Linked DNA regions of Caenorhabditis elegans. The protein of the gene in region 2 purifies or fractionates together with the protein of the main gene of each other region. This does not show direct contact. Each region holds a gene or a part of one and is shown on either strand. Other genes may lie near its edges. The genes, in order: lron-12 and nhr-166.

Region 1 (3,924 bases), on a different chromosome or scaffold from region 2:
AAATGCATCGGGTGCTATAGAAGGAACTTTGCTGTGTTCTATCAGAAGCTGCAAATTTTATGATTAAATTTTTTTTTAATTGAATAAAACTCAGCTTGTTAATGAAAATTTCAAATTAATTTTCAAATTAATTTTTTAAACAATTTTTCTAATTTTTTTGGCTAAATTCAAAAGGTATTTTAGTTTTCTCTCTTATTCGAATTTAAAATTTTCAGAAAAAATTCAATAACTATCCTAAAATAGATAATTTTCAAATTATCGATATTTCTTAGCGAATTCTGAAAAATTATTTCAGGCCCAATTCTTTAGATGCGGTTGAATTTTTAGGCTTACACTTAGGCTTAGACTTGGACTTAGTTTTAGTCTTAGGCTCAGGCTTAGGCTTAGGCTTAGGCTTAGACGGGGGAGGTGACAAAACATTTTCAGATAATTTTTCTAGTTTCTTCGAATTCTCCGAAAAACGTCGCAAAATGTCAAAACTTGGGAATTCATATGCGCGGGAATTCAAATTTTTTTTTGCAAAATTGAAAAAAAAGCCATTTTTTAAATTTATTATTAAAAAAAATTTTGAGACAATCTTCTCAAAAATCACAAAAACTTACATGAGATGTATGTGACAAGGTGCTAAATGTGCTCGGTGGAATGTCGAACTGAGAGTTTTTAAAGTGAACCACGTGGAAACGCGTCGAATTTGTGAATATCTCGGGCTCAATGAGCACAACTCCGGAAACAGTGAGAAAATCGAGCTGAAAAATTTAATATTTTTAGTTTTTAATTTTAAACAAAAAAAATCTACAAACCTGATTGATATTTGCAAAACAGTGCCTAGAAAGAGCCAATTCTTCTCCAGAAATTGTCAGCTCTCGAATATTTTGTGCATTTCGGAATGTGTGCCCGTCGATTCGATGAATCGGAGTTTTTTCGAAAATTATCTTGAGACCCATTTGATTTTGAATTCCACTGAATGCGTTCTTCTGGAGTTCTGTTAATCCGGGGCAGGTGGTGAATTTTATTAGTCTGAAAACATACAATTGTTTAGCGGAATGTGAATTAGGCAATTGCTGTCAAATTTTTTCCGGCAAATTTTTTCCGGCATAACGGAAAATCGGCAAATCGGTTTGCAGGAAATTTTCAATTTCGGCAATTTGCCGATTTGCAGGAAATTTTCAATTCCTGCAATTTGCCGATTTGCAAGAAATTTTCAGAGCATTTCGGAATGTTCGAAGCATAGTTAAAATATGCGAAAAAATTCAGGAATTGTCATTTTTTGACCGAAAATTCGAAAAAGTGTTGAAAATTGTTTCTATGATTTCTCAGGTTTGCCCATTTTATATGTAAGTTTATAAATTTTTCTTATGAATTTATTATTTTTGAAATATCAATTTATTTACCTAATCTTCTTCAGCCCCTTAAATGCCAATTTCTCAATTGTTCCAAGATTCGGATTATTCTCAAATTCAATTTGCATCAACTTTTCCATTTTTCGAAACGAATTTTTCTCAATTGTTCGGACAGAAGAGTTTCTGATGACGAGGCTTTCATATCCAGACGGAAGCCTGTCAGGTAGAGTTACAACTTGTTGCCCTTCACATGTCACCTGAAAATATATCAGTCTTGTCACTCAATCATTATTTGAGAAGGTTTTTGAAATTTGAAATTTGAGCAAGCTAAAAAATTTGAAATTAGAGAGTTTAAGATCTATTTTTTGAGACTAAGTCAAGTATAGGTTTTCCGTGTAGGCGTTAAAACGCCTGCCTGCCTGCTTGACCTTTAGGCGACCTCCGCCTGCCTCTCGCCTTAATACGCGCCTTAACTTGATCTTCATCAAACTTATAGAAATGAGAATTTGAAATTTGAAAATTCACGTCAAAACGCAGAAAAAAAGGGAAAAGGCCAGCGTCAGGCGGGCAGGTTTCAGGCAGGCGCCAGGCCTTCAATTTACCTGTTGCTTGTCCTCATCGCATTGGCATCCCATCGGACAAGTGTCTCGGAGGGCATTTGAATATTTCAAAAAATGAAATAAAATCAATAGTTTCCAAATAAAAATGTTGAATTTTTGCACATCGGAAAAAAGATTCATTTGAGTATTATTCGAATGAATAGCATTAACACGTCGTTCCTAACAACAAAATCATCAGAGATCAATCTGAAAAAAAGTACATTTTTTAGATTTAAAAAAAAACCACGAAAAAAAATTCAAAAAAGCAGGTTTCAGGCAGGCGTCAGGCCCTGACATCGCACCTGGAAGCCCTTCCTTACACATTTAATGAGGTGACTCCAATGACTTGTCACTCAAATAATGAGCATGTTTACTCAAATGAGCATGTGTCACTCAAATAATGAGCATGTTTACGGGGGGGGGGGGGGGGGGACACCAACAAGTTGTGTGTTCCGAGCTCGTAAAAAATGAGCACAACAAGTTTTTTAGTTTTTGAAAAAAAATGACTAGATGATGATGGGGGCATAGATGGAATCAACACAAACAACATTAGTTTTAAGTTTTAAAATGTTATAATATGACTCATGATTTGATTGGATTAGAAAGGGAGAGGAAATGAGTTAAGATTTTCAGAGCCACTTTTTAAAAAAAAATTCCAGTTTGTTTTTGCAATGGTAGTTTCTAAAAGTTTCAAAAAAGTGTTTTAAACAGCTCTGAAACGTTAAAAATTTTATTTCGGAAACAAGAGAAATAAGTTGGGAAATTCAAACTTTATGCGAAAAAATTTTGGCGGAAAGTTAAAAATTTCTGCGAATTTTTTTTGGCGGGAAATTCAAATTTTCTGTGAAAAATTTTTTGGAAGGAGATTCAAATTTTCTGAGAAAAATATATTGGCACGAAATTCAAACTTTCTGATTGTGAGAAAATAATTATTGGCAGGGAATTCAAATTTTCTGCGACAAAACATTTTGGCGGGAAATTCAAATTTTCTGAGAAAAAAGTTTTTTGGCGGGAAATTCAAATTTTCTGAGAAAAAATATGTTGGCGAGAAATTCAAAATTTCTAAAAAATAATTTAGCGGGAAATTCAAAAATTCTGAGAAAAATTTTGGCGGGAAATCCAAATTTTCTGAAACTATGTTTTCAGGGAAATTCAAAATTTCTAAAAAATAATTTAGCGGGAAATTCAAAAATTCTGAAACTATGTTTTCAGGGAAGTTCAAATTTTTGGGAGAACACTTTGGCTGAAAATTCAAATTTTCTGAGAAATTTTTTTGGCGGAAAAAAACACGAAATACACGAAAAAAAAAAAAATCAGATCGAAAAACAAAATGTTTTTGCCTAAAAATTTTAATTTTTTAGTGAACCAGAATAAATTTAAACTTTTGATTTTCAGAGGAAATTTTCCAATTGTCATTTAAATTTCGTAAATCTCAAATCAAAACAATAAAACACATGGACCACCCAACAAGTGACAGAGCGGCACACGTCTAATGTCAAAAGGGTGTTTGAAAAGTGGATTGATATCAGAACGAAGAGAAATGATAAACTAACATGTGTGCACTGACACTGAACACTTTATCTCTATCTTTCTCACTCGATCCTCCTTATCACACAATATTTTTATAAAATGTGGAATTCTATCTGAAGATCGGATACTTGAAGGTGTAAAGCGATATGGCCTGGGCTCGCGGAGCTCATCAAGAGTGAAATCGGAAGGGGTGGAGTCTAGAAGTCACTTAATTATCTCTTTGCCTCCGGCGATATTCTGAATATATATTCGAGAAAATTGAATTTGAAGAAAGCGTATTGTGATGGGGGAAATTACCGAAAAATGAGTTTGTAAGAAAAAAGTTTAGTCCAAAGTTGAGAGTTTTTAAAAACAAATAGAGAGGTTTGAGTCAGGGGTGGAAATTGCCATTCGGCAAATCGGCAAATTGCCGATTTGCCGATTTGCCGATTGCCGGATATCAATTTCCCGGAAAT
Region 2 (3,924 bases):
TTTTTCGCTCCGATTAGCAAATGTCAAATTGTTCCTCAGACGCCACGTACTTTGCCTCCCCAAGTTTTCTATTACTAACAACCCGTATTATTACTTGCTTCGAAATTCCAATATGGATATTCGGAGCCTATTGTATTCAATTCAAGACACCCGAGAAAATGAAGTCAGTGAAGGGGCTCATGTTGAATGTGCACTTTTGGAGCACGATTTCTGACTTGACGATTTGCTGTATCGGAGTGCCGTATCTTCATCTGCCATGTTTAGCTGGGTATGGGCTCGGGCTGGTGCAGGCTCCAGGGCCATTGCTTTATTTGGGATTTACGTTTTTGGGAGGTGTGTTGAAGTTTATATACATACTTTAACTTTTCGAAAAGACTGGAATTTTACTCGAAATTTTATGGTTTGTCAGCATAACTACAAACTACAAACTACAAAAAGCTCATGGGGAGACAAAGTTCTTACATAATTTTATAGTATTCTGACCATAACAGATTGATCAAAACTGACTAACTTTTTGTAGTTTTGTAGTTTGTAGGTTGTAGTTTGTAGTTTGTAGTTTACAGTTTGTAGTTTCTAGTTTACGGTCTATAGTTTGTAGTTTGTTTTATGATTTTTTCCAGCCTTCGCTGTCTCCATCATCGCCGTCTATGAAAACCGCCTCCTCACTGTCATCAATCCTACCTCTCGCTGGCACAAGTTCCGAAAGGCCTACCTACCGCTTATGTGCCTATTCCCTCCCACCTACACCATACCGATTTTCGCTTCACTCCCTGAGCAAGAGCATGCTCGTGAACATGTCTTGAAATCCATCCCATGTCTTAAAGTGTTTTCTCTGAATTTTCAGGAATTATTCGTTTTGACTCTGAAACCAATTGTACCAGCGATTTGTGGTGTATTTGCAGCGAGTATCGCAATTTTCCCGATTGTAATATTTTTCACACTAACTTTCCGGCAGCTTTTGAAAAGACAGAAAAACTATAAATACTCCTATCGAACTGTGAGAGTTCAAAAAAATTTCCTAGTATCCATGTCATTGCAATTTGTTTTTATCATGACTTTTATGTTTATCCCCTGCGTGCTTTTACTGTATATTGTAATTTTCAAGTATCACAATCAAATTCTCAATAACTTTATTATAATTTTGTTCTCATGTTTTGGAACCGGATCTACTGTTGTGATAATATTGGTTTATAAGCCCTATAGGGAATTTGCGTTTTTAGTACTTACATGTTCTAGGTCGAGAAAAGTTGAAAATGTTGTTGTACCTGCTATATTAACTTGAACGAATAAATTTGTAGCAATCAAATTTCTTATTATCAAGCAGGAATTTAATTGGGATAGGCAGGCAGGTAGGCACGTATACCTGAAAAGTTGAGAAGCTAGATTTAACGATTAAAGATCAAAATCAAGAACATTTTATTATATTTCAGATTTTCAACACATGAATGATTTCAAGCTTTTCTGTTTTGGTTTAGTGAAACGTGTGATTATATCCCGCCGACTATGTACCTGAAGCATGAAATCAGAGTTATCATTACTCCTAGCTACAACTCCTTAGCGTATATCCCTCGCGTGGGCGGAGCGTGAGCCAGTTTTTGCTTATAAAACTAATCTTATTTATTGCTCCGTGAAGCAATGTCCGAACCTCCGAAGAAGCCATTTGCTTGTGCTATCTGCCGAAACAAGTCAAGTGGATGCCACTATGGGGTAAGTTTTCCTTGTTGTAGGTTGGAAGGTTGGTAGGCAGGTAGATAGGTAGGCAAGTAGGTAGAATATGAGCAATTCAGGCATAATGCATAACTATGAATTAAGATTAATCTCATAAGTTTAGGTACTGTCATGTGATGCTTGCAAGATGTTCTTCAAACGAACTTATTTGATGGAGAAGTACTATACATGTAGAAGGCAGGAAAGTTGTTACAATATGGACGGTGGGAACAGTGAGTTAAAAATTTTTGAAATAAAAATAGTTCCGGATAATAAAAATAGTTCCGGAAGCTACCAAAATGCATTATACATCTAATATGCATAAAACACTGCATGTATTACACATCTCAAATTGTATTTTTGTTCAAATGTGTAATATAGCCCTCTGCAGGCATGGTGCATAATCAACGTGTTCATTTGTGCTCATTTGTGCCTGTGCTCATTTTAACTTCCGGTCCCACTTTTGATGTTTTTTCGTGATCACACGTACCTGTCTGCCAAAGCGTGACTATATTTATCAAACAACCGGAAGTTCACCTAGAGTTTGTACATATTCTTTCTAAGATTATAGACACATCTTTGGAAAAATGTAAGATCTCGTTGAACTTTGAAACGGATCATTTTCGAGTTTTGTTAGATGTTTGATAAAGTTTTGGTTTCTGTGGTTTTTATAGGCGCGATCTGTAGACACAACTGTAGGCACAATTTTTTAAAACTTTTCCAGGAAAATGCAAAGCGTGCCGCTTCAAAAAGTGCCTGGAAGTTGGGATGAACCCTGAACTATTTTCTCGCTCCGAATCTCAAATAATCTCAACAAATATCCCCACACAACTAATCACTCAAGACCATCGAAATGCTGAATTTCTGCAAAAGCTGAAAATCTTGGACAAGACTCGCCATGAAGTGTTCAAGATTATCGACACCTACGAGAATCCGAGTTTCGTAGATCTGGTTCGTCAGGAATCCCGACTCAGTTGTTATCTTAGGCCGGTAAGTGCATATATGAAATGGCGAAAAAACGTGTGTTTTCAGAAAAATATAAGCTGGGAAAATACAGAACGAAAGTTGAAGCCTTGGGGATCTCTGGGCATGCTTCTCGCTGTTGAAACTATCAAATCTTTGGATTTTTACCCTAAACTTTTGCTTTCTGATAGAGTAAGTCCTTACTTTACTCGAGGCTTCTATGAGCTAAAAACTTTTAGATTCTTCTCCTGGAAACCGTCACTCTGAAAAGTTTCCATCTCTCCGTTGCCTTCGATTCATTCTCGCAGAAAAAGGAAAAAATATTGGCGCCCGATGGGTCGGAAATGTTTCCAGACTCGCTTAACAAAATGGACTTTTGTAAGGATCTAATTATGAGATTATTGACAACACCAGTTAAGCCGTTGATTGCAATGAAATTGACTGAAACGGAGTACCTGCTGCTGGGCATCATTGTGATCTGTAATCCAGGTGAGGAGGGAGCCTACCTGCCTGCCTACCTACCTATGTACCTACATTTTCTTTTTCAGAAATCGACGGCCTATCCCCCTCGGGAAAAGCGATAATCACCGCATTCCTCCAAAAAACTATTAATGTTCTTCTCCAGTTCTGCCTCATCAACAATCCTAGATCTGCTCCTAGTCGACTTTTAGAGATAATTTCTATCAATCAGATCCTGAATCGGCAGTTCCACGCAAGCTACAAGCTATTTGATGCTCTGCGGAAACAATGGGACCCGACAATGAGCTTCCAAAAAGTTTTGGTAGAAAGTTGCAAAACGAGGGGATATGATTTGAGTTAGAGACAATTATTATAACTTGTCCTTATGATTTGAAATCTATTTTAGTGTGTAGAGTTTGTTCTAATAAAGTTTGTTTTTCTGTTTGTACATCAAACTTATTTGAGTGATCAACCGCAGACATCAGGTCCAAAATAACAAAAATGAAAATTTCTAGTAGACTTCCTGCCACAAACAAGATGTGAAATATGTGGTATAAACCTTTAACCGAATACATGAAAAGTTTTCAGAATCCCTGTGAAATTCCCAGCTAAAGTTGTAATCAGAAAGGTACTGTATCTTCTACGAGCCGCCTAATGGAAAAGGTCTCTATTTTGAGAGCTCATGTCGTCAAAAATGGACTCGCGAAATGTCGGGCGCTGTATATACTGTCATTGTTGCCATTATATCCTCGGTGATTTTAACCTACCCCAGTTCAAGTGGAATCCCAGTGGTTG

Evidence for each region.
Region 1: the proteins of nhr-166 (region 2) and lron-12 fractionate together in Caenorhabditis elegans (co-fractionation; one large-scale study listed by BioGRID). This does not show direct contact.

What each region holds. Positions count from the first base shown.
Region 1 is NC_003281.10:12,116,336-12,120,259, forward strand, and holds the start of lron-12 (eLRR (extracellular Leucine-Rich Repeat) ONly), read right to left. Parts: upstream 2,147-3,924; 5' UTR 2,081-2,146; coding exon 1,943-2,080; intron 1,598-1,942; coding exon 1,392-1,597; intron 1,018-1,391; coding exon 801-1,017; intron 747-800; coding exon 603-746; intron 401-602; exon of another isoform or gene 324-400; intron 49-323; coding exon 1-48.
Region 2 is NC_003280.10:3,878,610-3,882,533, forward strand, and holds nhr-166 (Nuclear Hormone Receptor family), read left to right. Parts: upstream 1-1,635; coding exon 1,636-1,707; intron 1,708-1,831; coding exon 1,832-1,940; intron 1,941-2,431; coding exon 2,432-2,697; intron 2,698-2,739; coding exon 2,740-2,862; intron 2,863-2,909; coding exon 2,910-3,159; intron 3,160-3,218; coding exon 3,219-3,490; 3' UTR 3,491-3,566; downstream 3,567-3,924. Other genes in the region: srh-250 (Serpentine Receptor, class H), read left to right, coding at 21-333, 621-1,282.